3 linked regions of the Drosophila melanogaster genome follow. The gene in region 3 interacts genetically with the main gene of each other region. Each region holds a gene or a part of one and is shown on either strand. Other genes may lie near its edges. The genes, in order: O-fut1, Xbp1 and pcx.

Region 1 (10,456 bases), on a different chromosome or scaffold from region 3:
AGCTAATTGTCACATCAGCCACCTTGGACGCGGTGAAGTTCTCGCAGTACTTCTTCAAGGCGCCAATCTTCACAATTCCCGGAAGAACCTTCCCCGTGGAGGTTTTATATACCAAGGAACCAGAGACGGACTATTTGGATGCTTCTCTGATTACAGTGATGCAAATCCATTTGCGAGAACCTCCTGGTGACATTCTGCTCTTCCTTACGGGTCAGGAAGAAATCGACACGGCTTGTGAAATTTTGTACGAGCGAATGAAGAGTTTGGGACCGGATGTCCCCGAGCTGATTATCCTGCCGGTGTACTCCGCGTTGCCATCCGAAATGCAGACCCGTATATTTGATCCTGCGCCCGCTGGCAGCCGAAAGGTTGTTATAGCCACCAATATTGCTGAAACTTCACTTACAATCGATGGCATATTCTATGTGGTAGATCCTGGTTTCGTGAAACAGAAGGTGTACAACTCGAAAACGGGCATGGACTCGCTGGTGGTCACTCCCATTTCACAAGCGGCAGCAAAGCAAAGAGCGGGAAGAGCCGGACGTACAGGCCCAGGAAAAACGTACCGTCTCTATACGGAACGTGCGTATCGAGATGAAATGCTGCCCACGCCGGTGCCAGAAATCCAGCGAACCAATTTGGCCACAACAGTACTCCAACTAAAGACAATGGGAATTAACGATCTGCTGCACTTTGATTTCATGGACGCCCCGCCTGTGGAATCGCTGGTGATGGCGCTCGAGCAACTACATTCCCTATCAGCATTGGATGACGAAGGCCTGCTTACTCGACTGGGCAGACGCATGGCGGAGTTTCCCCTCGAGCCGAATCTATCCAAGATGCTTATAATGTCCGTCGCTCTGCAGTGTTCCGATGAGATTTTGACTATTGTTTCGATGCTCAGTGTGCAGAACGTGTTTTACAGGCCAAAGGACAAGCAGGCACTGGCGGATCAGAAAAAGGCCAAATTCAATCAAGCGGAAGGTAAGTCAATCCTTATCATATTAATGAAACATTTCCTAACGATCGTTTCTGCACAGGTGACCATCTGACGCTGCTGGCCGTTTACAACAGTTGGAAGAACAACAAATTCTCAAATGCCTGGTGCTACGAAAACTTCGTACAGATACGAACTCTAAAACGCAGCCAGGATGTGAGGAAGCAGCTGCTGGGAATCATGGACAGGCACAAATTGGATGTCGTATCCGCTGGAAAAAACTCTGTGCGCATTCAGAAGGCAATCTGCTCCGGATTCTTCCGCAATGCAGCAAAAAAGGATCCGCAGGAGGGATATCGTACCCTGGTCGACTCCCAGGTCGTTTACATTCATCCGTCGAGTGCTCTCTTCAATCGCCAGCCAGAGTGGGTCATCTATCACGAGCTGGTGCAGACCACCAAGGAGTATATGCGTGAAGTAACAACGATCGATCCCAAATGGTTGGTGGAATTTGCTCCGTCCTTCTTCCGCTTCTCGGACCCCACGAAGCTAAGCAAATTCAAGAAGAATCAGCGCCTGGAGCCACTGTACAATAAGTACGAGGAGCCCAATGCCTGGCGTATCTCACGCGTTCGTCGACGTCGCAATTAATGGACTAAGCCCGTTTATGTCTGTAATTTTTTGTATTTTAAGCGCTTAAAAATATAATTTAAGTTTAAAACTCAGTAGCCCTTGCGACCTCGAAAGCGCTGTCGGTTGTCCAACTGAAAGATGGGTGGGTATATGTTTAGCTTAGGAATAATGGATATTTTATAGAGACCCACCAGGGAGCGCTTGCACTCGTAGAAGGTATTGCGGAGCACCTGGCACTCAGCTGGAACGTTGTTGTCCTGGAGGCACTGGCGCGGCGTTTTGCCCATTTTGCAGCAGTCGCTCTCCAGGAGGCACATCTTGAGATCCGCACGTACTCCCGCGCACGCTGTCTCATCGGCCAGCCTCTCGTTGCCCTCGTAGCGCATCATTTTCGTATGTATACAGCGATATATTAATTTATATTTTTGATTATTTTGTGGACCAGTTATAAAACCACTGGACAGCTGATAAACAAACAGCCGGTTTAATGTTGATTAACGTTCAAAGCGTAGTCAGCTGCCGTCATGGGTGTAGTGCTAAATCAGAAGGGGTTATGGCAGCTTTGTTTACTGTTTTATGAACACCGCCCACATATTAAACAATATGTTATATACACATTTATCTGAAAATTAATAAAATATATAAAATGAAGTATCTTTATTCCCCGTTTAATATGTTGAGGAGTCGCCCATTTTTTATGAACTCAAAACATTCTACGGTGCTCAACACTGCTTTTGAGCCAGAAAAAGTGCTGTAAATGATGCAAAGTTTGGTCCTCCAACCGCACAAAAACATTGTGGCTTGAATTTATTTAAATGTAGCTCCCGGTACAAGCAATTGAACCAATCGATATGACCTACGACGAGCGCAGTAGTGATGGCAGCAGCTCTAGCGAAACACATGATTCCTTCGCCCACCTGCTGGCAACCAAGCAGGGCCAATCCCAGACACCGGCCACAGCGATGCCCAAACACATTCCCTTCCCGGAGCACGCCACCACATCCGAGTGGCTCAGCGAACTCATCATGTGCGCCTTTACCATGGGTTCGGCCATCGTACAGTTCATCAACATCTATAGAACCAACTGGTGGCTGCCACAGGCGCACACCAGGCATATGGTGGTGGGTTTGCAGAGGTTTTCCATATGTATCAACAAGGACATTAATCCATAATCTATCTATGCACTCAGAACATCGAGCTGATCGATCCTTATCTTCGCTATCTACTGCTCATACTCAATACGCGGAGACTGATTTACTGCTTGCTGCTGGTGAAGATCAGGAAAAGAAACGAGAAGAGCCGGCATCTTATCCGACTGGGAATCAAGTACGGATTTGGAGGCCTTGTTCAGCTATCCTTGGGTTTCTGCGCCATGAAGCTATACCAGAAGCACACATACATACTCCTTCTCTTCTTATTCTATCCGTAAGAATGAAAAGTATTTTATATCCAAAGATATTCATATATTCTCTTTTATAGTGTGGTCATCTACCTGTTGATCTTCGGCTTCCAGCTTGAACCCTTCCTGCGCACACGATTCGAACTGCCGGGCGTGTATATCAACGACCTACCGGTCCATAGTTGCACCACCAATCCGGTTAACATAAGGGACGAAGTGGAAACACTCCGACATGACTTCAATAAGCGATTCAAGCAGCTTATCTTCACCTCCATGCTGAATGCTTACTACACTGGCCTGGTGCCCTGCTGTCTGGCCGTCAGTGTCCAATACAATGTACTCCGAGCAGCCCAGCACTGTATCATTGTGTGCCTGGGCGCTTTCAGTCTGTGTGCTGTTTTTCTATATCCTGCCAAGTATAGTGATACATTACATCGGGCTACTTTACATTTGGGCTGCTGGCAGCGCATTGACCGGGAGCCAGCGCCTTCGCAGCTAATAGTAGCCGCCAGTGCGCTCACCTGGTCGAAATACTCCTCCTACAACCACGGCACCGTGGTAAAGCACAACGGAGGCCTGTACAGAAGTCATGGCATGGTTACTGTGGCCACTCCGGGAAACGCCAGTCACGCTCGATTTTATGTGAGTATCTTACAAGTGGGGTATTAAATCATAAGTTCAACGTTATCATTAAAAAGTTTATTCATAATTTTTGCAGAAACTATTTCACAATCCCACCATAATTTATTCCACATTGGCCATCCTTCAGGCTGCCGTGCTACTAGTAGAAATAGGGTCTCTAAGCGCAGAAAGCGTCGAGTGGCACTTTGTCCTCTCCATCAGCTTCGTCGCCTTCACCAGCATGGGAGCCTTCTTCAAGCTGGTGCGAGACTACCTCATCACTAAAGATCTTTACAAGGCGGAGCACGCCGTAGCGCCCGATCAACCCTTCCGACAACGCATGAGAGATGCATTTATGTAGTAACCATCCAAAGAATAATATATTAACTTTTATTCGGCAGAGCTTTTGCTTTTATCATCTTGCTTTTCACAGGACACGGCAAACACCCAGGAGCTGCCCTGTTTGTGGTCGCGGACCTGAATGCCGTGCTGTTGTAACAAGCTCCTCAGTTCATCACAGGCGGCTAAAAGCTGCGGGTTCTTAACATTTCCGGAGGTGGCCCTTTCCCGCATTCTTCCCCGAACGTTTATCACATCATTCACAAGCAAATTGGGATCAATGCTATGATCCGTAAAGGAAACCTTTTCTTGCAACGATTCTTTATCCTGCAACTCTGATAGACCAAACGTGACTATGGCACGGTTTATGAAGTTTCCAGCTGCCAACAGCAGATCAATGCAGTAGGCGGGCTCCTCCTGTGCGTCCACTTGCTGCTCATTTATGCAGCGACTTATGCTGCTCATCTGATCGATTAGCACGCTGATGGCTCTGGCGGTATCGAAATCATCTCGAAGGCAATTATCGAATTCGGTTACTGTATGAGTCAGTTGGGCCTTTAACGCTCCCTCGTCTAACAAGTGCACGGGCTTCAGGAATTGGGTATAGGCACTTAGATCGGCCTGAAAGTTTCTAAACCGCTGCAGGGTCTGGCGAGCCGTCACCATCAACTGATCGCTATAAGGCATTGCATTGCGGTAATTGGACAGCAGGCAGGCCATTCGAAACTCATCGGCGGTGTACTTCTTCAGCAGCTCCGACACGGAGATCGTGTTGCCCAGAGACTTTGACATCTTCTCCCGATCTCCAACCATATGAAGTTGTCCGGTGTGCACCCAATAGTTTACCCACTGGTCAGTTTTATACCGTGCACAGCACTGCGCCTCCTCGTTTTCGTGGTGCGGAAAACGCAAGTCCAAGCCGCCAGCATGAATGTCCAACTGGCGGCCAAAGAATAAACCTGCAATGGCGCTGCATTCAATGTGCCAACCGGGGCGTCCCTCGCCACCCCAGGGTGCAGCCCACGTGGGCTCACTGCCACTTTTACGCGCCTTCCACAAGGCAAAATCGGCAGTGTTTCGTTTGATGGGGTCCAATTTGTCCTCGCTTAGGCCTAAGTTTTGAAGCTTTCCATAGTTCTTGCTTTTGGAGACATCAAAGTAAACAGAGTTATCCGGGGTAACGTAAGCCTGCTTTCCGTCTATCAGCTGCTGAATGAACTGAATAATGACAGGCATGGTGGTAGTCACATGACTGCGCACATCCGGCGCCTGAACATTGAGACGCAACATGTCCTGACGAAATTCCGCTTCATAAGCTCGCGCCATCTTCTGCCAGTCCAGTCCAGCGAGCTGGGCCCGCTTAATGATCTTGTCGTCAACATCCGTGATGTTCATGGCTGTCACCAGGTTGATTTTAAAATAATCGCGGAGAATGCGCTGCAGGATGTCTACCTTGACATAGGTGCTGGCATGACCTAGGTGCGCGGAGTCATAAACAGTGGGTCCGCAAGTGTACCATGTGACCATTTGGGGATTGCGTAGGATTAGGGGTACCTTCTGCCGCAAGCCGTGATTGTATATATTGATTCCTGTGTGCTGGCCAATTGGTTTTCTCCATTTAAACGGACTATCCTGTTTGGGAGCCTCCTCCGAAATGTTGCGCCGGCAAATGAGAGCTGGTCTCGTTCGACTGTTAAGAGCCCGGAGCCCCTCCTTGCTGTGGGAAACATTTGGGCTTAGAAATACAAAAAAGACACTATCCGCATAAATACTCACAGGCTATACATTGTTATATATTGTAAATTTTGTCTAAAGTCTAAATAAAATTATTTCTAAAGTTTCATGTAAGCAATAACATCTGATTAGAAAATAATAGGTTGCCAGATCTGAGCTTTTTAGCCCATAGTAAGAAAGTCTCACAATAAAATTAAAAAATAATTTCACAATATAATTTCATAAATTTTCAAATATATATTTATGTTTGCAATTATATTTATATCACATCATAAACAAAAGCATTCCAAACATTTTGTAATCTGGCAAAGAGACAGAGTTGCCACCTGGTCAAAGAAAATCGAAGCCGGCAGAATGCAGTGGCTCAAAATGAAGCTTCGCTTCGTAAACTTAATTTTACTATTAATAAGCTCAACATGTGCCCAATTGGGGGGCGATCCCAATGGCTACCTCACCTACTGTCCGTGTATGGGTAAGTTTCACTTGGAAGCAACCGAAAAACGACAACTAAACCGCGCTTTTCAAAGGACGCTTTGGCAACCAGGCCGACCACTTCCTGGGATCATTGGCCTTCGCCAAGGCGCTTAATCGCACCCTGATCCTGCCGCCGTGGGTGGAGTATCGTAGGGGTGAACTGCGATCCCGTCAGGTACCGTTCAACACATATTTTGAAGTGGAGCCCCTGAAGGAATACCATCGCGTCATCACCATGGCAGATTTCATGTGGCACCTGGCCGACGACATTTGGCCAGAATCGGAGCGAGTGTCATTTTGCTACAAGGAACGATATAGCCTTCAGCAGGAGAAGAACGATCCAGACAAGCCCAATTGCCACGCCAAGGATGGCAATCCTTTTGGTCCCTTTTGGGACACTTTTCACATAGACTTTGTGCGGTCAGAGTTCTATGCGCCACTTCATTTTGATGTGCATCATAGCAACGAGGCTGCCAAGTGGCAGACCAAATATCCTGCAGAATCATATCCCGTACTCGCGTTCACCGGAGCTCCGGCTAGTTTTCCTGTTCAGCTAGAGAACTGCAAGCTGCAGCGCTACTTGCAGTGGAGTCAACGGTATAGGGAAGCATCTAAGGATTTCATCCGAGAGCAGTTGCCTCGGGGTGCCTTTTTGGGCATTCATCTGCGCAACGGTATCGATTGGGTGAGAGCCTGTGAGCACGTCAAGGATAGCCAGCATCTGTTTGCCTCGCCGCAGTGCTTGGGCTATAAAAATGAACGTGGTGCACTCTACCCGGAGCTCTGCATGCCCTCCAAGGAGGCGATCATCCGCCAGCTAAAGAGAACCATTAAGAACGTGCGCCAAACTCAGCCGGACAACGAAATCAAATCAGTTTTCGTGGCGTCAGACTCCAATCACATGATTGGTGAACTAAACACGGCCCTTAGTCGCATGGGCATCAGTGTGCACAAGCTGCCGGAGGATGATCCTTACCTGGACTTGGCCATTCTCGGACAGTCGAACCACTTTATCGGCAACTGTATATCCTCTTACTCGGCATTCGAAAAAAGGGAACGAGATGTGCACGGTTTTCCATCGTACTTCTGGGGATTCCCCAAGGAAAAGGATCGTAAGCATACAAACGTGCACGAGGAGCTGTAATGGAGCAACAGGATTATCTACTTAAATACTCGAATAGGCTATTTTTCGGTTTTCTTTCCTAATACTAGACAGTTTTATTACATTGATTAAGCAATATTCTGGACTTCACTTCTTAAATGGTTAAGGTAAAAGTTTCAACTTACAAATTTAATGAATTTACTTTTGAATGTTACCAATATTTAGTGCTTTTAAAGAATATCAGTATATTTATGTTTTATTCTTTTAGCTTTAATTCTTAAAAAGGATTTTAATGAAACCCGTTAAATGCCTTCAAAAACACTACAACTTAATTGTAAGCTATTAAAGTATTCCTCGCATTTATGAAAACACTTGTTTGCTACCGATTTTACTTATAAATTTATTCAAGTTATCCAGCCCTCTCGCATTCTTGAAAATAATTTAGGTCGTCACTCCAGTGCCCCGAGGCCAGCATTTGTTCATCATCAGTGCAATTTTTTGGAAGTGGTGCGCCTAGTGTATCAGCTTCTGGGATCGAGCCAGATCCAGTTGCGCCGAGGAGACGCTCGTTAGACCCTCGCGCACTGTGCTGAGGTTCTCCTTCCATGCCTGCAGCAAATCGCGAAGCTGCTCCCATTGTGGTGCTCCAAAGGTTCGGTGCATTGTCGATGAGATGTGTACCTTTTGATTGGCCTGATCTAGTCGTGCGCGTACCAGCTTTGTTTTCAGCACCTCGATGACGAAGGGCTCCACCTCGTCTTCGTTGATCTGCAGCTCCTTGGTAAGCGTTTCGAATGTCATCTCCGGGCTGCTCTCGGCCAGCTGCATGAAGGTCAGCAGACGCATCTTCTTCATGTTCTGCTCATGGTTCAATCCTTGCGAGTTGACAAACTCCCTGTGATCCTCGTAGAACTGCACGTACGCTGGCAGCTTCTCGGACACGAAGATGGACAGCAGGTCGTGGATGAGGTCGCCTTCCAAAAAGCGCACAGGCTTCAGCGACAGCAGAGGATCCAGCAGGAATGTATTGGGGTCGGCCAAGGCAGTCACAATGCACTTCATGGCATCCTCACGGGCAACACAAGCATTGTCCGCCGTGTAGGTGCCCAGCAGCTCAATCATAACCTTGGAAGACAGCTCCAGGTTGGTGTCCTTGGTCACGTCGTGCAGCAGGCGGTACAGCTTCTGCATCTGTTCCGACGAAGGTGGGCAGTTGGCAAACTGGGATTTGAGCTGATCCACACCTGAGAAGACCTCCAGCACCTGTTCGCACTGCTTGGCCACCTGGACCAGGTGGTAGTACACATGGTAGCGTAAGGGAGAGGCGGTGTCCAGGTTGTTGAACAGACGCCACAACGACTGAAGGCACACCTTGCCCAATGGAAGATTGGGAGCCTTGGTCATCTTCTCGCAGTAGGCCAGGACAATGTTCTCACCGCGATCCAGGGGTATCTGAAATATTGAAGGTTATTTTTTGTTGCTAATATTGTATTCTGTATTACTCACCGTGATCATGATGGACACAATGCTGTTTAGAATTCCATCAATCTGCGAGGGCTCACCATCCTTAAAGCAAACGTCGCAGACGCCGATGATCTTGTGCAAATCATCCTCCACACCTTTATTGGACTTCTCCGATGAGATTTCGGCTCCCAGCTTCTTGAAATACTTGCGCAGCTCTTGCACCTTTTAATAAATTGCGAATAATATTAGTTTTGTTTTGCAGCAAGAGGAAGACATAACCTCAATTCGGGCAAGGCGCCGCCCGAATTCATGGCTAAAACAGGGCACTTTCACTCTACCTGCTCGTCCAGGGACAGGTCTATGAAAACCGGATGCGAAGTCATGGTTTTGTTAAATGTTATTCCACTTTTTTAAACAAATTCAGCTGAAAATAACACGCACACACGTCTTCGGCGCTTTGACAGCTCGAAAGGAAAGAGAGCGACCAGTGCTGCCGGCCTGGTCCGTTTCCCGCTAATAGCGATGCTCTCAAACAATTGACCGAATTAAATTAAGATGACGTTAACGTGGCCACTTAAAATATATAATATTCCTCTGAAATTCATTCAGTTCAATAAAATTAAAATAGTTATGGCTTTGCAAGTGTATTAATGCTGACATAAAAATCAATTTTATAAATGTTTTGACGGGACTCTAGCTAACAATAAATGTGGGCAAAAGTAGTGTTCCCGGATCTTCTGAAACATATAAGTCACTAAGTGACTTCTTAGCCGTACCGTTACTAACGTTCTAAAACCCGTTTCTCCTGAATTTTAAATTTACCATCCAGCAGTTATTTATTTTACATTTATCACTTTACAGTTAAGCAAAATGACACGATTTTTGTTAAATTGTTAATTTGGCGACAGTCTGGCAACTCCGCTGCTACTAAGTTATATTGCTCGCCAAATTTATATTATATTTGTATAACGGGCGAGAAGAGCAGGAGTAATGCCAGCTAATCGGGGCGGAGAATTATGAAATACACGACACACACGCAGCGTGCGGCTTCCTAGAGCCACAGAGATTCCGCAGCAGGCGGTACAACCGTTACTAGTCAACCACTATCCTCAGCAGAACTCGTGATTACATGGCTACATCGGATTTTGTTCTGGGCGGCCTGGCCTCCGTGGGGGCCACCTTCTTCACCAATCCCATCGAGGTGATCAAGACACGGATCCAGCTGCAGGGCGAGCTGGCGGCACGGGGTACCTATGTGGAGCCCTACAAGGGGATTGTCAATGCCTTCATTACGGTGGCCAAAAATGATGGCATTACGGGGCTCCAAAAGGGCCTCGCACCGGCCTTGTACTTCCAGTTCATCATCAATTCCTTCCGGTGGGGAATTATTTAGTAGCTATATTTTATAATTATTAATCATCTTGAATTTACATTCGCCAGGCTCAGCATTTATTCGGAGGCAATGGAGAGGCGGTGGATGCACAACCGGAAGGGTGAGGTGTCCTACGGAATGGGACTACTGTGGGGCGCCATCGGCGGCGTCGTGGGGTGCTACTTCTCCAGTCCATTTTTCCTGGTACGCCAATTGTGGGAATGCTGCGGGAGGTTACATAAACAAATACATAGTTTATCTAAATGAGCCGCGTGCTCATCAGCATTATGGACCTTCCACAGATAAGAGACTTTATTGGCAATTGTCCATCAGTATCTAAATACTACCATTTCAAGATATCCAGGGAGAAAGTATTATACT
Region 2 (11,037 bases), on a different chromosome or scaffold from region 3:
TGCCAAGTGGATCGACCAGGTTCATGGGGCTTCAACCACGTTGGTAAAGTGATGACAGGTGTGGATTAAATGAAACGGGAGTAGCATAGCCGACAGTTGAATGGATAAATAAGACAAGAAGGTGAAACCGAGTGTATTATTGAAAGTGCAGCACTTAGTCCTCCAAGAACTGGCTAAGAACGAAGACCCACAACCAACTCTCGAGCTAAGTTAGCGGGTTAACAAGAAAGTGAGTTTTGGTTTACCAATGGTAGCAATGATATCACACCATTCCAGGCACGTGGCCATCCAAACTTCCACCCTGATGTTTGCTTACTTTTTTTGTTTATTTTGATCCCAACTCCCCGCCGTGAGTAGACTAATTTCGTTGGCACTACAAGTGCATTTCGAGTTGAAACCCAAACCAACCAAACCAAAATGTGTAATTGAAACTGAAACGAAAGTGGAAGTGGGAGTGGAATCATAGCCATTGGCCATGTGTGGGCGGAAATGAGTCACTTGAGACGAACGCCCTAAATTAGGTTCAAGAGCTGCTCCGTTGCAAATTAATTTTAATATTTTATTGGGCGAAACGAAAATGGAAATTCGATTTGGAGCACCGGCGCGGCAAACCACACAAACAAGCCATCTACATAATTGATAGCATCATGCGACGGTTAAATTTGTTTTAACATGCTTAATGTATTTTACTTATTTAGACCGTATTAATTATAATTAAGTAAAAACACTTTATGGCATTCATTTATAATGAATACAATTCACTTTTCATTACCTCAGATTCAGATTGCACTTAGATTAGAAATTCTTGCTCAAATTAAAGTTTATTTAAATATGATTTCTTGAGGAATTTGCCTTACCTTTGCTACCCTTGAGAATGCTGTTGGGTGGACCGCCTCGTCCGGTGGCTGCTCCTCCGTGCACTCCGTTGCTGCCAATGCCATTGCTTGGCAATCCGGAGATGAACTGATTATGCACCGACATCTGGCTGTTTAGCGAGGAGGTGCCACTCAACGAGGCAACATCCTCGCGTGAAGCTGAATTTCCAATCACTGCTGAGGCGGATTTCTTAAGTGCCGGCGGCGGTGGCGGACGTAGATGGTGGCCACCTGGTGGCGCTAAACCGCCAGACTTCTCCCCGTTCCCAGTTACAGTTCCATTGCCATGCCCGCTCCCGTTACCAACCACATCTGTGCCAGCCGAGGACAGTGTCTGGGAAGCGGCTGCCATTTCGCCGGCATCGCCACCATCGTCCACATTGTCACGACTGCAATTGAATTTTCTGCTGCTTCCGTTGGCAAGGCTAGAATTTAGATTCGAGTTTCCGTTAAATGTTGCAAAACTGGTCGCGGCGGCAACAGGATGTGGATGTGGATGTGGATGGGAGTGCTGGTGTTGGTGGGAAGCATTCAGAGGCGCCAACTGTTGCGGCTGTTGTTGCTGATAGAAGTGATTGCTGTTGAAATGCTGCTGTTGCTGCTGCTGCTGCTGCTGTTGCTGCTGCAGCATTAGGTAATCGGTGGGAGACTTGGCGGTGGCCACGCCCCTGGCCGCCACACCTGCTCCTCCGCCGGCTGTCGACGTTGTCGTGGCCGTGATTATTGGCATTTTAAGCCGGCTGACTGCCTGGTTTTTAGCTGTCTTTAGCTGCGATCGCAATCTCTCACACAGTTGAATTGTTTTCAGGCACTAGCGCTATTTGGCTCCATTGCATTTGAGTTTCGTTATTTAATACTTTTGTCGATTGTCTCGATTTCGCTTTGTTTCGCTTGTCTGCGTGAATGTTTTTAGATAAACTTTGAACGCTTCTTCATTTTGCCGTTTAAATAATTGTTATGTCATTGAGCTGTCATTCCGGTTCGTGAAGCTGCAAAACAGAACAATCAAAAGAGAAACCATTAATTAGCAGTATGCAAAGTAATATAAACAATTACCATGTGTATGCATACAATAATCGTAAAGCAATAAAGAACGCTTCAGTTCGATTTGGCATGATGCTCATTTTTATTTTAAGATGCAAATATGTGCGACCTCTTTTAATATTTGCTAAAATGTATTTAAAACTGGTGTTTTAAAGCAATATATTTAGCAACCCAATAGAAACAGCTGAGTTCCATTAACTGGAATCTCAAGAGATTGGGAACTCTTGCTTGAAGATTTACAACACTTTATTATTATGAAATTCCTTAATACCCGCAACTTAAACTGCATGGCATGAAAATCATCGCCACATACTTTGAATATCCAACATTGCTGGGTGGTACCAGCTCGCTCTCCACCTCCAAACCTCCAAACCAAGTCCCAGAGCCAACTATCCAGTTAGACAGCTCCCGGCCAGACAAGCGCATTGTTCGATGGCTTGGTCCAGACTGCAGTTGCAAGTGGGGCCAATCAGTAGATTGTTCAGTTAGGCTAGTCAGTATCCATGGCAACCATAGCCGCAGAAAAAAAAACCCCTCCATTGTTGACATTGCAATTTAACGGCGAGCTGCTTCGACTTTCCCATGCCAGACGCATAGTTATAATTATTTTTGTGTGCATTTCATGGCGAGGTTTATCTTAAATTTTCGCCACTTAAAGCCATTTTTTGCAGTCTTCAAGTGCGCTTAAGAAAACCAGCTCGGTTTACTTGGATCCATATATAAAAAAAAAAACAAACTTTCTTTGTTTAATTTGGTGCAGTTAAACATTTGAGCCAGCTAGTTTTAAAACAAATTATATTTTCAGAGCAGATTGAGGCAAGTTTGCAACTCTCGCTACTTTTGAATATGCATTTATATGTATTTCAAAATAAAAGAGCTAGTTTCCCCGCTGCAAATATGAAAACGTTGACTCACGACACACACACAATTATGAGCGCGGGGTAAGGAATAAGAAAATTAACTGTGCGAAAAAAGGGGCATCAAACACGGCAGCAACATAAAGTTCCTCAAGCGAAAAATTTACTCCAATGAGAAAAAAGGCACAACGACGATCGTTGTGTGGATGGAAGCGGCATGGAGGTGGCCACAGGGCAGGGGGAGTACTCCGTGAGGCACACAGCGAGCTGCGGGCACCGCCAAGCCAAGAATTCCAGAAACGACAAACAAAACAACGGCGGAGAGAAACAAGTTTTTCAGAGTATGCCAGCAGATCGCCAGAAAACCGAAAACTGAACTAAGAACTGAAAACCGAAAAACGAAAACTGAAAACCGAAAGGCAACCCCCACAAGTACACAAAAGAAAACGTATAGAGTCCCTTTTGTGGATTACGATTTGATAAGGATTTGGATATTGTCTGTTTTCTGTGTCCCATAATTATAGGGATATTGCTCTAAAAGTACCAATTCCACTGCTCGTTTCTTTGAGTGTAGGGACACGTAACAGGAACGATCCGCGATGGTGGTAGCGATGGTGGTTGCTCCACTTGCCACACCGAGATCCTTCGCAGACCGCAAATGTATGTGCCCAGCCACCTGTCGTTTGAGCATTTCCCATTAGAGAAAAGCCGCAAAAGGAGCGGCAAGCAAAGTTGGTTGAAGGCAAGGAAGGAAAGGAAAGGAAAAGGAAAAAAAAAGATCGGGCCACTTTCGACAAACAGGCGGCGCACGACCAGAAAAAAAATGCCTAGTAACAAATGGCAATCAACAAGGGGAGCGGCTATGGAAAAGCAAGTGAAAAGCGAATAGTTAAGGCCACAATTTCACTGCACGGGGAAAATTCATCATCGGCGTTTATGGGCGCCTGAGGTTTACTGTGAAGTGAGTTGCAATCATATCCAAATGTGGTTAGGCCAGCACGTTATCTTCTTATTTTTGCACATTTAAGTTGGGATTTGATTGCATGAGGATATAACCTATTATTAGCAAAAGAAAGTCTTAACTGTTAGTACTAGTAAGCATTGATAAAAGCATGAACAGTTCTTCAGAAACTAGCAAGTTATGCTCGAAGTAAACAAAATCATCTTTTTTTCATGCAAATTGATCAGCAATCATGGAAACTAGCTTTCAACAGTCGAGTGCCAGATACATTTGCAAATATTTATCTTTTCACGCACGCCTCGCTAATTGCCATCGATCAGAGATAAACTTTCTATCGGGTAATGAAGCAAAGTGGTCAATGCCATGGGCAGAAATTGGAAAAATGTCAATGGGGGAGATAAATAACATTTTCAGTCACTTTCAAAATTCGCACCTTGTTTATTTCTGCTGCCGTTTTGAGTTGTTTTGCTTATTTATTTGGCTCGAAAACGAGTGTTAAGCGAGGGATCGATGATCAGTTTTGAGCATCCAAGTGTCGAACACTTTCCATTTTTATGGTGATTTTCGTTGTTTCTCTTTTTTTTTCTGAAAACGCGTATTTCTGAACACACATGCACATACACTTGTCAACACAACTGAGAGTTGCAGTGGCACTTGTTAACTGTGGTATTATGGCCAAGTTTTTGAACTTGTTGTGGGCCAAAAACCTCCTGGAAAACCCGTTGGAATCGCCGAACGACGTTACACACCTGCGACGATATGTGAAACGAGTTGCTCGTTTTCCATTTAACGCTGCATTCAATTGCAATTCGATTTTCCCGCAACGCGAACCGCACTCCACGGAATATCGAAAACAAATGAAAACTGAGGTGGCGCGTTGAGTTGAGTTGGAAAACCTGTTGCTGCCAAACGACGCACACAGATGCAAATGCTCAGCGACAACAAGCAAATGCAGTCTATTTCGTCCTTTAAAAGGCACTGGAAAGTCTCGAACTTCACTGTTTGGGTAACATGAAATCTTTAGCTAAACGATTGTCTCAACTTTAATTGCAAATTAATGGGAAACAAATTAAAAACACGAAACGAAAAACAAAACAGAAAACAAAATAACGCGACGCTCAACACGACTGCTTCGCAGGCAGTTATCGACTGATGCTTATCGGTCGATATTCACCACACCTAGTATGACCACAGGGGCGATACCCTTTGCTTGGCGCCATTATCGATTTCCGATCGTTATTTTCAAATTCGAAATATAAACAGCAAACCTTTAATAATGCTTCAATCAGAAAACATATAAATCAGGAAAAAATAAATCGTATTTTAAAATTATCAGTTTATTTATTAAATTCTAAAGTATATACCCGCGATGGAAGTTGGTGGTAGGCATTACATAAAATGAGCATCGCACCTCCGCTTGATATCACTAACCTTTTGTAGTTACCCTAAACAACGAACTCGAGGAAAAGATTTCGGAAGCATTTTGCATATTTGATACTCATGGCGATAAGTATATTGATTCCCGCAATGTCGGCAACGTGCTCCGATTTTTAGGTTGCGCGCCCACCGAAAAAGAGGTCGAAGATGTCATTAAAGCCACCGATTCCGTCGACTATCCAGGCGAAGCCCATTTGGTGAAGTTCATGGAACACGTTTCCAAACTGCTGATGGATCGACAGTTATTCAATATACTTTAGGTTTGTTTAGCAACTAACGATATTTGTCCACAGAATGGAACCAGCCTCGTCGGAAAAGCTTCTCGAGGCCTTTGAGACCCTGGATCCAGAAAATAAAAAATATCTGACCAAGGAGTACTTCGGCAAATTAATGGCGGAGGAAGGAGAACCTTTCTCCGCTGAAGAATTGGATGCTATGTGGCCTGTGGCAATTGATCCCATTACTGGACACATTCCCTACACCTTCTACATAAATCAACTCAGGGTAAGATCGCATTTCCCAACTACTTTTGATTGGATTCATCTAAAATTTCCAGCACAAGCCTGATATCTATGAAATTGCCGAGGTTATCAAGGAGGAACTAGCACAAGCCGAAAAAGAAAAGGGCAAGAAACCACAACAACCACTGTTTTAGATGCCCCTTTAATCAAGCAATTGCAAATAACGCGGAAAATAAATTTATACATTTTATAACAAATAATTTCCTTTCTCGTTTTTACTGTTCCACATTGAGATATAGACGGTCACACTGCCATGCGCAATTCGAGATGGCATAGTCGTTGTTCTATGTTTGGATATTAAAATGAATTGTGTGAAAAATTTAAGGAACTATTTTTTGTTTTAAGATATTGCCTGAAATGTTACAATATATTTATTAAATCCAATAAAAAAAAATTTACAATACATTTAAGCGCTTTTACAAATCATCGTTGCTCTAAATTAACTGAATTTGTAATCGATAGCCCGATACGTGCTGCTCCATCCCTCATTACCCCAACTCTTCTAGAAAAACACGTCAGCTTTTCACAGCCATTCGGAAAAGAACACGTCAGCAGAAAGGAAAACTGGTCGGTCGATATTGCAAAGGTGGATGAGAAAATTGCGTGAGACGGAGCCAGAAAAGCCCGAGTCGGCGGCGATGAAGAGATTCAAACCAGCAGAGCGTCCGAGAAGCGCAGTCGAAGTTCATGAGACGACCTAAAACAAGCAAAAGTTAAAATACGCTCTTACAATGCAAATCTAAGTGGAAAGTCGCTTTTCACAATTGCACACAGCACACAGCAGTTTATCATTTAGCCCCGAACCAGTTAAACATGGCACCCACAGCAAACACAGTGCTAATTACCGTGCCGCGGACAGCAATCACATCGAATAATCTGCCCAAATTGCGGCCCGCCCCCCTTACGGCAGCTCTGCTGAAGGTGTCGGCCACGCCCTCCGCCTCGCCCACGCCCTCGAGTTCGGGATACGCATCCTCGTCGAACATGGATGACGATAACATGGCTGCATCCCAGCCCAAGGCCAAGAAGCGTCGCCTGGACCATCTAACCTGGGAGGAGAAAGTGCAAAGAAAGTAAGTCCACCCAACTTTTAACCAAATTTGAGCGCCTTATTTAACTGTTATTATCGAACAACAGGAAGCTAAAGAACCGTGTGGCCGCCCAGACATCGCGTGACCGCAAGAAGGCACGCATGGAGGAGATGGACTACGAGATCAAGGAGCTGACAGACAGAACGGAAATACTACAGAACAAGTGCGATAGCCTGCAGGCCATCAACGAGTCACTGCTGGCCAAGAACCACAAGCTGGACTCGGAGCTGGAGCTGCTGCGCCAAGAACTCGCCGAACTGAAGCAGCAACAGCAGCACAACACCAGATGCATCAGCCAATCCAACGCCAGCGCAGGCGCTGAGGGCTGTGCGTCCACCAACCTTGGATCTGCAGCATCCAAAGCTGACCCTCTGCCGCAGGGTATACAACAGGTGGACACACAGTCGTCAGCGCGTCTGCTGGCGGAGCAGCTGAAGAGCAGCAAGAGCCTGGCCTCACTCTGGAAAGTTGTGGCCCTCTGCCTACTCTACAAGACATGCTTGGCGTCGACGAAGAGTTCGACGTCAAGCGCCTCGAAGAGCTGGCCGAAAGTCTGCTCGCAGATATCACAGCAGACCTGGAAACAGGCGCTGGAGCGAGCAGCCCAGCTGCTGCCCAAGATGCAGGCAACGCAGAGCGATTGCCTGGACCAATGGTGGGGCCCGCAGCAGAGCGCTTGGAATCCGACGGGCATAGAGCTAATGGCCTGAATGTTGAGCAGGAACAGGAAACCGAGCACAAGGTCAGCCTAAATGTGCAGATGTTGAAGATAAATGGAAACCCACAGCATACCACAGCAGCGCCAGCCTCGAGAACAGCCACAATCACAGCGACAGCGGCCGCCTCGCAACTACAGGCCACTCCGGACACAGTGTACGGCACGTATGATGCCAAGACGAACTCGATCACCATCGTGATGGACGGGGATGCGGTGCCGGTGAACGAGGCCGTCGAGGAGATCTACTGTGACGGCGTCAGCGCTGGCGACGACTCAACGGACGTGATCATGAAGTGTCCGCCGCCAGCGACGTCTCCGTCACAGGTCTATCTCAACGTGATGAACGCCGTCGACAATTCGGACGACGAGGAAAGCTTCGATCCGATCGACCGATTCCTACGTCCGCGCGTTAAGGCGATCTCCCCGTTGGCCAAATCCCCCGCATTGTCTCTACACTCGGCCACCTCGGACCATGGATACGAGTCCATACTGGGCTCTCCCACATCCGTGGCTCTCACTCTGCCCGCAGATGAGGACGATTTCCCCTGGGAGAGCAACTTTGACGAGCTGTTTCCCAGTTTGATCTGAGTTTTTCAAGCTGAAAACTTCGTTCTGTCTCTCTTTTATTGTTAAGTTTGGCCGGCCGCCGTTTGTTTAAGTTTTTTAGTTGATAGGCTGTACATAAATTCATAATCGAAGGCTTTATATATGATACTGTAGTTAGAGCGCTAAGTTTAGCTGTAGGTTTCCATTTATATTTAACAATCTCTAACCACATAGGCTTATGATTACTCTTATATGTATGTATTGTGCTCAAAGAATTTGAAAAAAAAACATTTGACTAAAAAATATTCAAAATATAAACCAAACCAAACAACAAGCTCTTTGTTTTTGTTTACTCTAGGCGAAACAGAACTTTGAACTGCGTATGATAAATAGTTAATCACGCCACTTCTCTAGCATCACGCCACTTTTTTATGACGCAATTTCTGCGTAGATGATGGGACAGTTTTAGGTGTAAGCATATGAGTCATTTTGTTTTTATTAACCAAATATATATATATTACAAAAAGTGAGTTGAACTGACTGCAGATAATGCGGATAGGTGAAATAAAACCACAACTATGCTCTGAAATATATGCACCTTATTTATTAGTATATTATTCATTAATAAGACGAAATACAGCTCTGTTTTTCTCCAAACTGAACTAGGATTTAAACAAGATTTTGCTAAGCTCGAAAAATATATTTTTTAAAGAATATAAATAGAGCCACCCTAATGCGCCAGCAAAAGCGAATTTGTTTCGGAACTAGTTCGAAAAAGTTGTTTATAGACTTGAACCAGTTTTTGCTTACGAACCACATACCTGTGATTTTGCAGAAAGATAAACAATTTTTAAATGCAATAGAGTGTACGGTTAAACAGAAATGACGGAACCAACGAGCAAGACACCGGATGCGGTTCCGGAATCACCCGTATCACTGCCCATCGCCTCCCAATCCATGGATACGGCGACCATTGAAGATTTCGACGAGGACAAACCGGCCAAGGGAAAGAAGAAAGCCAAGAATCCAAAGGGTCGCCACTCGGATTCCGACATCGGCTCCGAACTGAAGAAGCTGGCCCAGCGCCGGATCAACGTAGCCGGTGCTCCAAAAATGCCACTTAATGGCTACGTCCGCTTCATGAACGATCGACGCGAGGAACTGCGACGGGAGCAGCCACAACGTACTGCCCTGGAGCACACAAGGATCATCGGCGAGGAGTGGCATCAGCTGCCCGAGGAGCGCAAGTTGCCCTACATCGAGGCAGCCGCCAAGGACAAGGCCATGTAAGCTCACACTTCGTTTCCAACCCACAAAATCTAAACATATCTTCCCATTTTCGTAGATATCAGGAGCAGTTGCAAATGTTTCTCAAGGAACACCCCGAAATTGTGGCCAACGAGTTGGCCAAAGCCAAGAAAGCCACAAAACTGGATGGTTCGCCCAAGGAAAAGACGCCGAAGGGTGAATCAGCCTTGGGCAAGGCGAAGAAGACCAAGGCAAAGCCGGTTAAGCGGCAGAGCGAGGATCCGGATGATGTGCCTCTGGCCAAGGTGAAGCGTGCCCAGACACCACCGCCTCCCACACCGCCAGCGGCTCCAGTACAGCCCCCTCCCAGCAGCGTGCCACCTGCGACACCTGCACCACGACCGCTGCAGCCCGGCGAGATACCCATCTACACCAACGAGTTCATCGAACACAATCGCAGCACGGAGAATGAGCTGAGGACGCTGCGCAAGGCCAAGACCGATCTGGAGCAGCAGAACGCTGTGCTGGAACAGCACGTAGATAATACGAAAGCCGGGTACGCCAAGGTGATGGGCGAGGTAACTGAGCTCATGGAGGAGAACCAACGCCTGGAGACCTATTTGCGCGCCTTGCGCCAGAAACTGGTCGCAGCTCTCGGCGGAATCTCGATGCCACCACTGGAGCCAAGTGGTCCCAGCGTTGGCAACATTGACAAGTACATCCGGCACTTAGCCGGGCTCGTCACTCAGCCAAGCAACGTCACTTTGATTAAGGCACGAGAGGCGCTGCGTAAAGTGGACACCAGTAGCTTGCTAAAACCGTGATTCATAGTACAGTATTCATAGCGTTAATAACTTCACCATAAACAATAGTCATAGTCATAGAACAATAGTTATCAATGCCAAGGATATCAAAAGAGAAAACCGAATAACAATAAAATATCCGCAGCATTTGTATGTAGCCAAGTTTTGGGAGCGCCCACTTTTGTATTTGTTAACGTCTGTAAGTTAGGAGACTACTCGTATGTACCCAAGAATATCCTCATTTTTAGTTGTCCTTGGGAGCGTCAACGCCGAGAGCGAGGCTGCGATGAGAGGGAAAACGTGGCACTTTACGTGGTCCTGCCGTGATCAGTCCGGCATCGCCATCCACGGAACTCTGCAGCCTTGGCGCCTTGGTCCGACGATTCAAACAGTTGCGTAGAATATAGTAGCCTCCCAGCATCAGGGGAATCACCATTACCGGGTGACACGCTATCCCAAGCACAAACAGAAATGTGGACATCATCAGGTTGATTAGGGCCTCTGTGGATCGGGTCGTGCCGATTGAGTAAGGCGAACATGGTCGTGAGCGATACACTTACGTTCAATGCTCGAAATGGTGGCCACTGTTGTGTAGATCGCATACGAAATGGCTTCAAGCACACTATAAATATAGTAGATCAGCATTTTGGATTTGTTGAATTTCCTGGTGGAACTGAACTGCTAAAGCGATTCGGGCAACTGGGAAAAGTCAAAAAGTACAACTGAAGCAAAGGTTCCTACGACTATGAAACAATAAGAAAAACTAAATTAACTAAATTAATCAAAATAGAATTTATACTTGCTTCTCGCAGCGAAAGGTTTCTTTATTATTAAACAAAATAGTCGACGTTTCACTTCGCGTAAATAAACTAAAGCGTTTCTCTTAGTTGTTTTCGATTTTTTGTTTCTTAGGAACAGCAGAACTAAACAAAAATA
Region 3 (11,158 bases):
GTGCTCGTAGAAGATGCTGTTGAGGTTGTTATCGTCCGCACCCAAGTCCCGCTCGAGCTGGGAGCTTAGCCTTGTATTGGAGTGGTCTATCCGGCGCGTGTTGTAGTCCCGCTCCCAGAACTTAATAGGACGCACATACGAAGTGAGAAAGATGGCGCTGCCCAAAAACGGATTGAGGGGAGTGGAGAGCACTGCGGAGATGGCCGCCTGCAGGAACAGCATTGCCGAGTGCGGTACACTAAATGGCTGGGCGAAGGCGTGGAAGGCCGATCCCCAAGTAATTTGCCACGGAGCGATGTACGTCACAATAAATTGCAGCTAAGAAAGAACATGCATTAGCATTTATTAGAATAGTATAATGGCCAGGCCAAGTTCTCACCTTAAGCAGGAAGTCACAGCACTTGCGAAAGGCCAGCGACACAAAGAAATAATCTATAATGAATGTCTCTGTGGCCATGGCAAAGTCGATGCGGAATAGCAGAACCGTAAAAATTATTATCAGGTACTGGTTGGTCGGATCCGAGTAAGCGTTCCTTACAACTGATAAAAAGAGATAGATGGATTGGGATTAGCTTAAAAGTGAGGGAGATGGAAGATCTGCATATAGGGTTTGCCGTTCAGTCTTTAGATATATTAATATACATTTAATAACGATTTCAAATGATCGATTTCTATGATCGGATGACTCACACTTTAGGGCGCAGATCGCCACGATGAGCGTGCCCCAGGGCAATCCAAACTTAGCCACAATCAACTGCGAGTCCGCCGTTAGAGAGGAAATGGCCAGCAGGGGAAAGAGCACATTCCGCTCCAGGACACTGAGGTAAATGTAGAGCTTTTCGAACCACATGATCTTGGGGGCGTTGAGCACCTCAAACTGGCCGAACTCACGCTGCCGGAGCAACGGACGGGAGAAACAAAGCCAGGGCATATGCTTTCTCATCTGCGGCACTATGTAGTGCAGGAGAAGTCCAAGTACGCCGATGAACGAGTAGAGAACCACGTTGAGATCCGGCTGCAGGGCGGTGAATACAGTGCTACAGTGCAACCCCAGTACACTGACCGCCAGCAGGGTCATCACCACCAAGTCGTTCTTCAGCCGAGTTGTTACTGTAGCCTGCAGCTTTCGTGGTAGTGGATCGGGAAGGTCGTTGCCAGTCCCATTGCTATTGGTATTTCCGTTAGCGCCGCCACCGCTGCCATTTTCACTGGCTTCGGTAGTTCCAGTTCCAGTTCCAGTTCCCGTTCCCAGAATCCCCTGATGTTGCTTTTCGTCAGCAGGTGCCTCAGCTTCGGCGTCAGGATCTGCCTCCAGGCAAGCGGGTGTGGCATCAGTGGTGGCTGTGCCCGCCCCCGCTGTCAACGTAGACATGTCCCCGGGGTTTGTGGCAGATGAGCTGGAGATCTTGTCTTCACACTCATCAATTTTGGCGGCTTGGTCATAGTTCTCCGCTAATTCGTGCTTGCTCCCCACCTCGCCAGCCAGTGTATTCCTACGTTGCTCCTCGCCTTCCACCGCCTCCTCGGTCAAAGCTCCAGCTTCCACCGCTGGTTCTCCCGTTCCAATGGAGGTACACGAACTGGAGGCGGTTATGGCCCTCTTGCTACTGCTGATCGTCTTACCCAGGGTTTGCTGACTGCTGCCCAAGGACGAAGTTTTTGATTTGCTGTGCTTTTGTTGCAGAGGCAGATCTTGATCCGTCTCTAGTTGATCATCTGCTCCGTGATCTTTCTCGTGATGTTCTTCGTTGACTGTTAGCTTTTCTAGCGAACTCAGCTCGATCTGCTCATGTTCCGTTTTTACGTCTGTTTGCCTGTGCTGCTTTGGAGTACTGGTGGTCAATTGAAGGGCAGTGCTATTGGCAGTCCCTGATCCAGTAACTGTTCCGGTTGCTATATGTTGCATCTGGCTGAGATCTTCATCCTCATCGTCCCGATACGTGCTCACAATGCACGTCTTGATCAGCCGCCACAGGTGGCTGAAGTCGCTGGCACATCGAGACAGATGGTAGCCCAGGGGTACCAGCATAGCGCAGAAGATGGAGAACAGAATGTACTGCGTCCCGCGCTGCTCGTCCAATGCTCCGTACAGAGGTCCGTAAAGCAGCATTACAGCTAGCACCGACCGGACGACGCACAAAAAGGAACCTGTACAGTATTAGGAATTAGTCTAAGAAGCAAAATAGGGATTAAAGAGTTCTCACCTAGAAGACTGCTAGCAGCATTTCCGCCAAAGACATGCATGTCGATCTGCTCGAGCAGGTACATAAGAAACGTGTTTATCTGGGGACACAATCCCACCGAGAATATGATGGGGAAGCACAGCAGCAAGATGTAGAGCGCCTGCAGAAGGAGGGCAACCACATCAGCAGGAGAGTAGCGCATGCCAAAGAATACCACAGGGTCCGGTGTCCGTTCCCCGTAGTCCGTATCTAGGCGCTTTAGTAGCAACAGCATGCCCCCGGCAAGGCAGAAGTATATAGCCCGCGAGTAGGCGACTGTCTTGTTGAATCCGTGCACTGGCGAAGCTGCGTCCGGTTGCACACTTTTTACTAGCGAGTACTGAGCTCCCGCGATCACTGCGCAGAAGAGCAGGGCACATAGATCCTTGTAGTGATCGTGCTGCAAGATCGCCGCTCCCAAGCAGGCTACCAGGGTGCACAGCAGACTGGCCAGAAGGACGTGCATCCAGTGGAGATCACGGTCGAACAGGGCAAGAAGCTCTAGCCGGTCCATGGCAATCTTGAACTCATGCTCTTGGCCGCACCACTTGAATCGGTACTTGTAGAAACTCTTTGGAGCCGCTGGCTTTTCTGTCGCGGATAGAAGGCACGCGGGTCTCCAGTAGTCGCAGTAGGGTGCAAAATGCCCGTCCACATTCAGCATGGGTTGGCTCATCTGACTGAGCTGACTGATTTGGCTGATCTGGTTGCTGGGGTGATTCGCCAGTCCTAGGGCGCTTAAAACTCCTCCCCCGCCACTCGATGCTCCTCCTCCTGCACCGGAGGCTGAAACGGAGGCAGCCTCACTGGCATTAGCGGCCAATGCTGCTGCTGCATCACTTAGTTGCTGCAAGGCGTCCAATTGACTGCGCGCTGCCGGGCGCTCACTTCGGATCACATTGATTAATCCTTGGACCGAGAACGGAGCACTGGATGGGTGCCGGGAGCTAGAGCCTCCGCGCATTAACATGCCCACCTGCTGCTGCGTCATTTGCTGAGTTGCGAGTGTGTTTCCTCGGACTCCTGAGTTGGCCTCCGCCGCCGCAACCAGCTGCTCGCACATCAATTTGGCATCCAGGCGCAACTTATCCCTAGCCAACTCAATGTTGGTCATGTGTTCCACACTGGAACCGGAAGTGGGATGGGTGCCCTGAAGCGCTTGAATAGCATCCTGGTAGAACTGGAAGTGTGCGTTGGACATGTTCGGCGGGACCAGGCTGCTGCTTGCCGGGATTGGAGTGCCGTCCGCCGAGGTGCCGGTGATTGGACGGCCCCGGTCATCGACGGCTCCGCCGTGCATCAGCCAGAGCATCTTGTGAATGTCAGCCGTCAGGCTATCGGTCAAGCTGATGCTGTGCGTCGAATTCGAGGAGGAGGAATTCCGCGAGGCCTGCTTGGTCTGTTTGACTAGGGCAAACTCGTTTCCAGCCTCAGCCGCATCTGCCGGGGAGCCTCCTCTGCGTCTTCTTCTTAGTTCATCCACTTCTCGGTACTTTACCACTTTTGGAATGGCTCCCAGGCTTTTGGCAGCCATTTTCGAGGTGCATGGTTGCTCTTCGTCTAGTTGACACCTTTGCAGGATCTGATACTGCTGCAGCTCCAACTCTATTCCCGACAGGAGTTGGTCCTTGGAGCTGGCGCTCACTTGCTCGCAATCACTTGAAGGGCAGCCTGAGTCCGCCTCGCTGCGTATGGGGACGGGAGGATTAGGGGCAGGAATTACTGCCCCGGACTGGTGTGATAGCTCCTGACGGAGTTGCTTGTCAGCTTGAATCTCTCGCAGTGTTGCCGGCTGGCGATTGCGATCGTTGAGCAATGGAGATCTCGACCCCGTGTTATTATCCTCCGTTTCCTCGTCTTCGTCATCATTTCCGGCACTTACCCCTACTGCCACGGATCCTCCCGACGGCCCAGCGCCCTCCACTGATGCTGCTTTATGATGGTGCAAATGCGAGTGGTGATGGAGATCGTGGGTCTTTAGGACGTCATCCAGCTGATTATGCGTCTGCTGCAGCTCACTAAGAATGTGCTCAAGGTTGTCGTCGAAATCTTTAAACACATCCTCGTCAGCACCGACTTCGTCTGCCAAGAAGCCACCTACATCCGATTCAACACTGTAGTGCGTTTGGCTGCAGCCTAACGCCCGCGTTCTTCTTCGGATCGGGACGTCGTCCACCTCATCGTCATCGTCGGCGTTGCCTTGTCCTATTCCCAAGCAATCATCACCGTGTTCTTCGTGCGCCGTCTTCTCGTCAGAGTGCTCCACTATGGGGTATACTGGAGGTTCAATCAATGCTGTTGTGGAACCGCAGGCGCTGGAGCTGCCGAAAAAGAGACTGCTGCATGTGCTGCTGTTACCAGGCCCTCCTCCTCCAGCGGAGGGAGTTCCGTCGCCATAGCCTTGCGTAGGATAAAGGTTAAGGTGCTGGTTTCGCACCAGACTTTTGCTAGGAGGTGGTAGAGGGTTCCGCATCTGTTGTTGACCCGAGATGGCCTCCACGCTGTTGGGGTGTGGACTAAGATTGGATACAGAGGGCTGCGGGCACAGAACCTCCAGGGCTGCGCTCTTAATGCGCCTCACTCCACCAGTTCCTCCGGCCCCTCCGGAAGTGCCTGCTTCTCCAGACGGACCCCTGGAACCTCCGCCGCCCACCAGAGACGATTTGTTGCTCTGGCTCGAGCCGTGCTTGTAGCTCGTAGCGTTGGAATGTCTGCGTCGCTTCATACCAGCAGCAGATCCACCTCCACCTGCTGCTCCACCACCGCCTGTTACCGATCCTCCCGTTCCTGGCTGGGTGACTGCAGCCAATTGAAGTGCAGACATTGTGCTGGTTGGATCCTTACGAATGATTGCACCTCCTAGGTGATGATGCAGGTGGTGGTGGTGATGGTGATGACGATGCTGGGTGCGGAAAGTTGGCTGGTGTGGCTGTTCAATGCCCAGATCAGATTTGGTGTAGCTATCGTCCTCCAGGTACCCATCCGGAAAGGGATCTAAATGGGCAACATAGTACATATTAAAACTAATTTATTGAGATTTCTAAACTACGACAATGAAGAGTTCTGATATTGTATCAGCTTACCTAATATCCAGGACTGTAGTGCCCGGCTACAAGCATCCGCCACTCCGCCGCTGCCCGCATTCCTAACCAGGCCCAGTTCCATGTCTTCCACATCATTTGCGGCAACATTGCCTCCTCCACCGAGCACTGCCAGTGCGCCGATGCTGCTGGCTGCACTGTGGTGCGGAAGTTGAAGAATGGGCTGGAAGAGTCCACCACGGCTCTGGTGCTTCAGCCGCTCGTCATGCGTCTCCGAACTTCTGTGGCGCTGCAGACGTGAGGAACGTCCAGGATTAACCAATGAGTTCGAGGCGGGGGCAATGACAACGACGGCGGTAGATGAAGTGGGAGCATCTCCTCCGCCTATTCCTGTTGATGGGGCGCTGGTTATAAAGTGCTGACGCGGATTGGTCTGACCGCGCGCCTTGTTCGTTGGCTGAGAGTGCAGGAACGAGGGTGCCGCTGTGGCTATCGTATCCGACTGATTGCGCATCAACTTGTTTTCCGCGTTGGAGTTTGCAGCTGCCGCCGCTGTGTCCAAGCTGCTCTGCCGTTCGAGACGTCGTCGATGGCGGCGGCTAAACACCTCAGAACACTTGCGCGACAGATGTCCAGTGCGTACGTGCTGGGCTGGTGCTGTTCCCGCTCCTGTATGTCCCAGTGTACTCACTGCTGCGCCTGATCTACTGTCGCCACCACTACTTCCTCCATCTGCGCTACCCGCACTGCTTCCAGCCGCCTCGACAACCTCCGGATAGACAGTGAGGTACTTGTTGAACATGTCTGCTTGAGCGGCGGCGCTGGTGGACGAGTTTCCGCCCGGTCCTGTACTCCGAATGGACTTGCTAACGCTGGCGGAACCAGCCAGCGATTGTTGATCCTGTTGGCTACCGCCGGATAGCATGGATGGGGCGTAGAACATCAGTTCAATGGACTCCGAGCTGTTCTTGCGATGCACATCGACCTTGAGATCTGCGAAGAGGAGTTCTTAGGCTATAGCACGTGTGCACAAGAAGCACCACTCACCAATAATGCTGTTCACGTTGTCGATGGACATGATGCTGTTCTCCTCGCTTGCTTCATTAATGGCCTGCTCGCCGGAAATGCGTGAGCCGCCCGGTCGGATGACCTTCATCTCGATGCCGCCCTCGTCGTCGTGGCGCGGTTCCGTTTCCTTGGTGACCTTCACGAACTGCCCCTTTAGGTTCCCCTCGGACATGGTCTGTGCGCGATCGTAGAGCCTGTGCAGCGCCAGATTGGCCAGCTTTACCATCAGTATGGTTAAGCTCGTTATCACGCAATACAGGCACCATGTCAACCAAGTGCTCGGAAAGTACTGCAAGAAGATCTATGAACGGACTACTTAGGACTACACTCGGTCACTACTTACCAGGTAGGCCACGAAGGGCGAGCAGAGCAGGTAGAGCCACAGGTAAAGGTGCACCACGTTGCAGAAGACACCCTGATGCGGATCGTAAAAGTAACCGCCGGTCAGCGAGGCCCACACGCCCTGGCGCAGAATCTCCAAGGTCTGTGAACCCATGGTGGCCTATACTGCATCGCTTAGCCGCCGAATGGATGAGGATCCACGCTTTTGCTGCTCCAGCTTCCGGATTACTCACAGTAGGAGTTGCTGCTTCTGCTGCCGCTGCACTTCGTCACTCTTCCGTTTGTTTATTTGCTGAGTAAGCCTGCCAAGCTGCAGGCGGGGGGCGTGGTCTGCGGGCGAGGCCTTGGGAGGCGGTGGTAGCGTGGGTGGTGAACGGGGGCGGAGGGGAAGGCAAAGGCAGAGTCGCTGGTTTTTTTGAGGGAAAGCTGTGGGACAGGAGACAATGCTGCGGCTCCTCTGGAAACACTCCAACTCCGGACTGGCGTTACGCCGTTGTTTGTTTTCCGGGATCTCAATGATGCTGCAATGGGATAAAACGAATATCGCTCGCAATCCTGCTGTAATTTTAATTTTTTTCTTTTGTTTAGAGCCTGTCCTGTCATCGATTATTGGCCCGAACCTATCGGGCCCTATCGCACTTCGATATTACTAGGAAAAATGGTAACACTGCAGTCTGGTATTTAAATTTAAAATTTTCTTTCTTTTACACACTTTTTTACATTACCATTAATTAAATTTGTTAACTTAATAATTTCTTATGAAATTACCTTCAATTTTCGTAAACTTTTTATACGTTTTAACAGCGATTAATTGAGTGTAATATAAAACATATTTATTAATAGTAAATTATATATCCATGAATGTACAATTTTATTCAAAAGAAATAAATGTTTTAAGGGCTAAAACTACCAAACCCCGTTACTAACATTACGTAGAGCCTAACTTAGTAAATAATGGCAAGGCTAAAAAACTAATATGAATAACCTTGTCTTTGGTTGCCCTTAACACTTCTCTAAAACTAAGTCCTTCCTCCGATTTAACTTTATTTCCGTTCACATTTCCATTAGGCTAGAAAAAAAAAAAAAACAAAAAGAGTGCGTACGTATCTAGGGAATCACAAGAATCCGGGATGATCCGATCGATCGGTCCACGTCTGCCGCATCCGGTCAGTCTGCGCCCCCACATGGGCGCTGCATAGTCAGCGCTCCTCACTGCTGCTCCCGTCACCGCCAATGAAGTCGTCTCGCAGTCCGCCCCTGTGCTCATAGTTGTGGTGGTGGTGGATGTGCTCCTCCTCCTCTTCGAGTTCCGGCAGCGCTGGAGGCGCCACCGGAGGCGGAAGTGGGTGGTGGTGCTCGTGGTGGTCATGATGGTCGTGGTGGTCGTGGTGATCATGGTGATCGTGCTTCTCGTGGTGGTGAATGTGTTCCTTGGTCTGGTGAATCTGGATGGGTCGGTGGTCCTCGTGGATCACCTTCTTCTCCTCCTTTAGGACGAGTGGCTTGTGGTGGTGGTGCACGTGTTTCACCACGGTGTGTATGTGCGTTTCGATTTTCTTGTGAATGGGCACGTGGATCACGATTTTCTTTTTTTTCTGGTGGCCCCTGAAAAGGATAGCAAATACATTTTTAACCTAATAAATTATTTGATTCCATACACTTTTCGTTTGGAAGATTATTAATATAGCTTAAGTTAAATATTTTAGCTAAGTTCGTTTGAAATTATTTAGCGAGAGTGATTGGCTTTCTATGATTTGAAGTTGTAAAATGTTCGTTAATCTGAATGACGCTTTAAGTTAAGGGGCCTGTGCCGCGATGTATCCTCTATCTGGCCCAGTAGTCCCCATGATAATCCATACCCCGCATCCGTTTCCGGCACGCAGACGAGAAGCAACACCAGCGCCACCACAATTGAGAGCCTCAGGAGCTGCGAATAGAGGGAGCACGGATATCGGGTGTAATCCTTGTGTAGTTGCAATACCCGGTCGCCACTCACCAAACTGCGGTTATCCATATCGCTTGGCTTGAGACCCAGGTGCTGAGGTGTTGAAGGCTCCGACGAAGCGGCTGCTTTGATTGCTGCCCCACTGCGACCATTTTATTTATACAGGCGCAGGCACACGGAATGCGGTGGAATACGAATACCCCGACGCCAGTTGGCGGCTTCTGCGCTTCCGTGACGCAGTCCACCACCAACGATATGGGCAGAGCCATGGGCCTCGCTCTGCTTTGGTGGAGCCACACTTGGTGGAGCTTCTGCGCACGCGCCGCGAAACAGCGGAGTTGGCTGCTCAGTGAAAAACCTGCAATTTCCATTCATTTCGGATGGCAGCGATCATCGTGTCATGGATTGTGGGTGGTTTTCAGCCAGAGGAGGACTACTCTCTACCGAGACGGAGGCTAGCCCCAAATTGTGGAATTTGCACTGTTAAAAATAAGAAGAAATCACGCGTGTATATTATGTATATAAAAGCCCACAACGAAAGTATGGAGTTTGCACCTGTATTAGCTACTAATTTTTGCGTTACATTAGACCTAGACTTTGCAATTACCTATCAGATAAAAAGCTCGGATCTTCTAAAGCCACCTTTATTGGTTGCCCAATTCACCGAATTAATGTAACCCCTGACTTCGGTTTTCCCCCAATTTGCAGGGCATGAGAGCTCCGTCCCCATTGATGGGTTTTTACCATTGTTTATTTTCTTTGTTTTTCCGTTTTGTTTCGGCTGTGTGTGAACTTCTTCTAAAGCTATGCCTTTTTTCAGCAGCTCACGCAGACGGAAGGCACGGAAAACTGCACTCAATAGCTAGGAGCCGGAGCCCCACACCGAAGACCCAAACTCAGTCAACGTAAATAGCAGGAGTGCAGCGTGTGTTTAATACTCACAAAGATATGTTGCATGGTCGCTCAGCCCCTGGATTTATTTATTAAGCCCCCGCCCGACTCCCCGGCTAACTTGAGTACATGGCACGTAACGCGAGAAATAGAGAAATACGTTACAAATAGATCGCATGCACATGGAGCATATTTCTATTATGCAATCGTACAGGCGATTTGCCAGATTTGCGGGTGTTATTTAATTGCGAATCCCGAACTTGTTCGCTATTCAATTTCAAATACGATCACTCATAGAATGCGGAGCCTATCGATATCACTGGCTGTCATCGGCCAGAGTCCCAGCGGCAAGAAGAAGCAGCGGCTAAGAAAGGGGGAAACAGAAAAAGCGAGCGAGCGAGCTAGCGAAAGAATAGAGAACAGCGATAATAGCGTCACCCTCGAACAGTGGTCAAAATCTCGCTCCAAGTGGGCTTAAGTGCACATTTCTTCTATTTTTATGCTTAATTGGATTTCTTAACTTCGAAACTAATTAAGATAAATAGGCTGTATGCATGTAAGAAAATAATTTACACGTATAAGATATGTTTGTTGAAACAAAATGTGTTAAAAAGCTGTTAATCGGCTGAGCTTTCGCAGTTAGAAGAGCCAGAATCTGGGCCTATGACGCCCACTGTGCGCAGACTGGCTGAGTGCGCCAGCGTGTGTGTGTGCGCCCCCCAATCGAAATCTTTTTTTAGTATTGAAAGAACAGTCGGGCAAGAAAGTTGGGGCGCAGCAAAATCGAGCCAGACAAAGTAAATAACTAAGCATCGGCATACATATAGAGGGAGTAATTCCATTTCGATGAATTATCCGTCAACAAGCTGGTGATGAGCAGCAGTGTTTTGCTACATTTAGTTTGTTATTCACTCTGCTTATTTGCATTTCTTTTATGTTTTTGTTGTGGTGCGTTTGTGTGTGAACCAATTGTTGCTGCTGCTGCAAGAGTAGTGGTGTCGTGATTAATAAATTCCCAGTGACAAAGTCGAAAAAGAAGCAGTGAAGTAATGTGCAATAACAAAGTGATTCCAGTTCAGAGAGAGATCACGTTCGGGAGACCCACTTGCTGATTTTTCGAGACTTCGATTTTGTTTGAGTGTATTATGTGTGAGAGTGTGTGTGTGTGTGTGGCTCAGATCATTATCCCAATTGGGAGCACTTTGCCTGGAAACAGAATCTGCGATCCATATCCATAATCCCATTGGTGTACTAGGTAGCGCACTTCTAGAGCTTCTGATAAGAAGCTGCTCCGATCAACCTGTCCGATTGGAAGTGTGTGTGTTGCTGCAACATTGGCTGGAATTTGTTAGCCATAAATGGCCACGAACCGCCAAGTCAATAAACCCCAGCCCACAGCTCGAATTTTCAAACCGGGCGTTGAGAATGGCAAAAATCAATCGAAAGCAAAATTCCATAAGTGGCGGACGTACATCACAACTATTCCTGTATATTTAGACTTGTATATTTAGATATTCATCTGGCAGAGAGTGTGTGTGCACTGTGTGCAGGTTCTGAAAGTCCAGAAATACTCTGTGCTCCCACTGGCTGGAGGGCGAAAGAGAGGGGAGAACTGCCCCAGCCCCAGTCCGAACCCCAACCCAAAATTG

The links.
Region 1: of pcx (region 3) and O-fut1, changing one suppresses a phenotype caused by changing the other (phenotypic suppression), as found in Drosophila melanogaster (one study listed by BioGRID).
Region 2: of pcx (region 3) and Xbp1, changing one suppresses a phenotype caused by changing the other (phenotypic suppression), as found in Drosophila melanogaster (one study listed by BioGRID).

What each region holds. Positions count from the first base shown.
Region 1 is NT_033778.4:14,155,446-14,165,901, forward strand, and holds O-fut1 (O-fucosyltransferase 1), read left to right. Parts: upstream 1-5,984; 5' UTR 5,985-6,017; coding exon 6,018-6,135; intron 6,136-6,190; coding exon 6,191-7,281; 3' UTR 7,282-7,609; downstream 7,610-10,456. Other genes in the region: pea (peanuts), read left to right, coding at 1-984, 1,041-1,588; CG13018 (uncharacterized protein), read right to left, coding at 1,660-1,701, 1,762-1,959; CG13016 (uncharacterized protein), read left to right, coding at 2,422-2,691, 2,760-2,995, 3,050-3,611, 3,688-3,951; CysRS-m (Cysteinyl-tRNA synthetase, mitochondrial), read right to left, coding at 3,981-5,646, 5,706-5,716; eIF3m (eukaryotic translation initiation factor 3 subunit m), read right to left, coding at 7,753-8,691, 8,746-8,925, 9,042-9,086; CG8323 (uncharacterized protein), read left to right, coding at 9,833-10,080, 10,144-10,279.
Region 2 is NT_033778.4:21,137,369-21,148,405, forward strand, and holds Xbp1 (X box binding protein-1), read left to right. Parts: upstream 1-6,180; 5' UTR 6,181-6,508; coding exon 6,509-6,768; intron 6,769-6,832; coding exon 6,833-7,496; coding exon of another isoform or gene 7,497-8,092; 3' UTR 8,093-8,382; downstream 8,383-11,037. Other genes in the region: magi, read right to left, coding at 858-1,605; CG9406 (uncharacterized protein), read left to right, coding at 5,107-5,119, 5,178-5,415, 5,468-5,678, 5,731-5,829; Hmg-2 (high mobility group protein 2), read left to right, coding at 8,933-9,336, 9,396-10,122; CG15657 (uncharacterized protein), read right to left, coding at 10,346-10,602, 10,662-10,746.
Region 3 is NC_004354.4:2,221,380-2,232,537, reverse strand, and holds the start of pcx (pecanex), read right to left. Parts: upstream 7,243-11,158; 5' UTR 6,828-7,242; coding exon 6,675-6,827; intron 6,633-6,674; coding exon 6,311-6,632; intron 6,257-6,310; coding exon 5,306-6,256; intron 5,217-5,305; coding exon 2,205-5,216; intron 2,149-2,204; coding exon 691-2,148; intron 541-690; coding exon 380-540; intron 319-379; coding exon 1-318. Other genes in the region: CG14052 (uncharacterized protein), read right to left, coding at 7,873-8,278, 8,533-8,600, 8,670-8,687. UniProt on the Drosophila melanogaster protein: Involved in neurogenesis.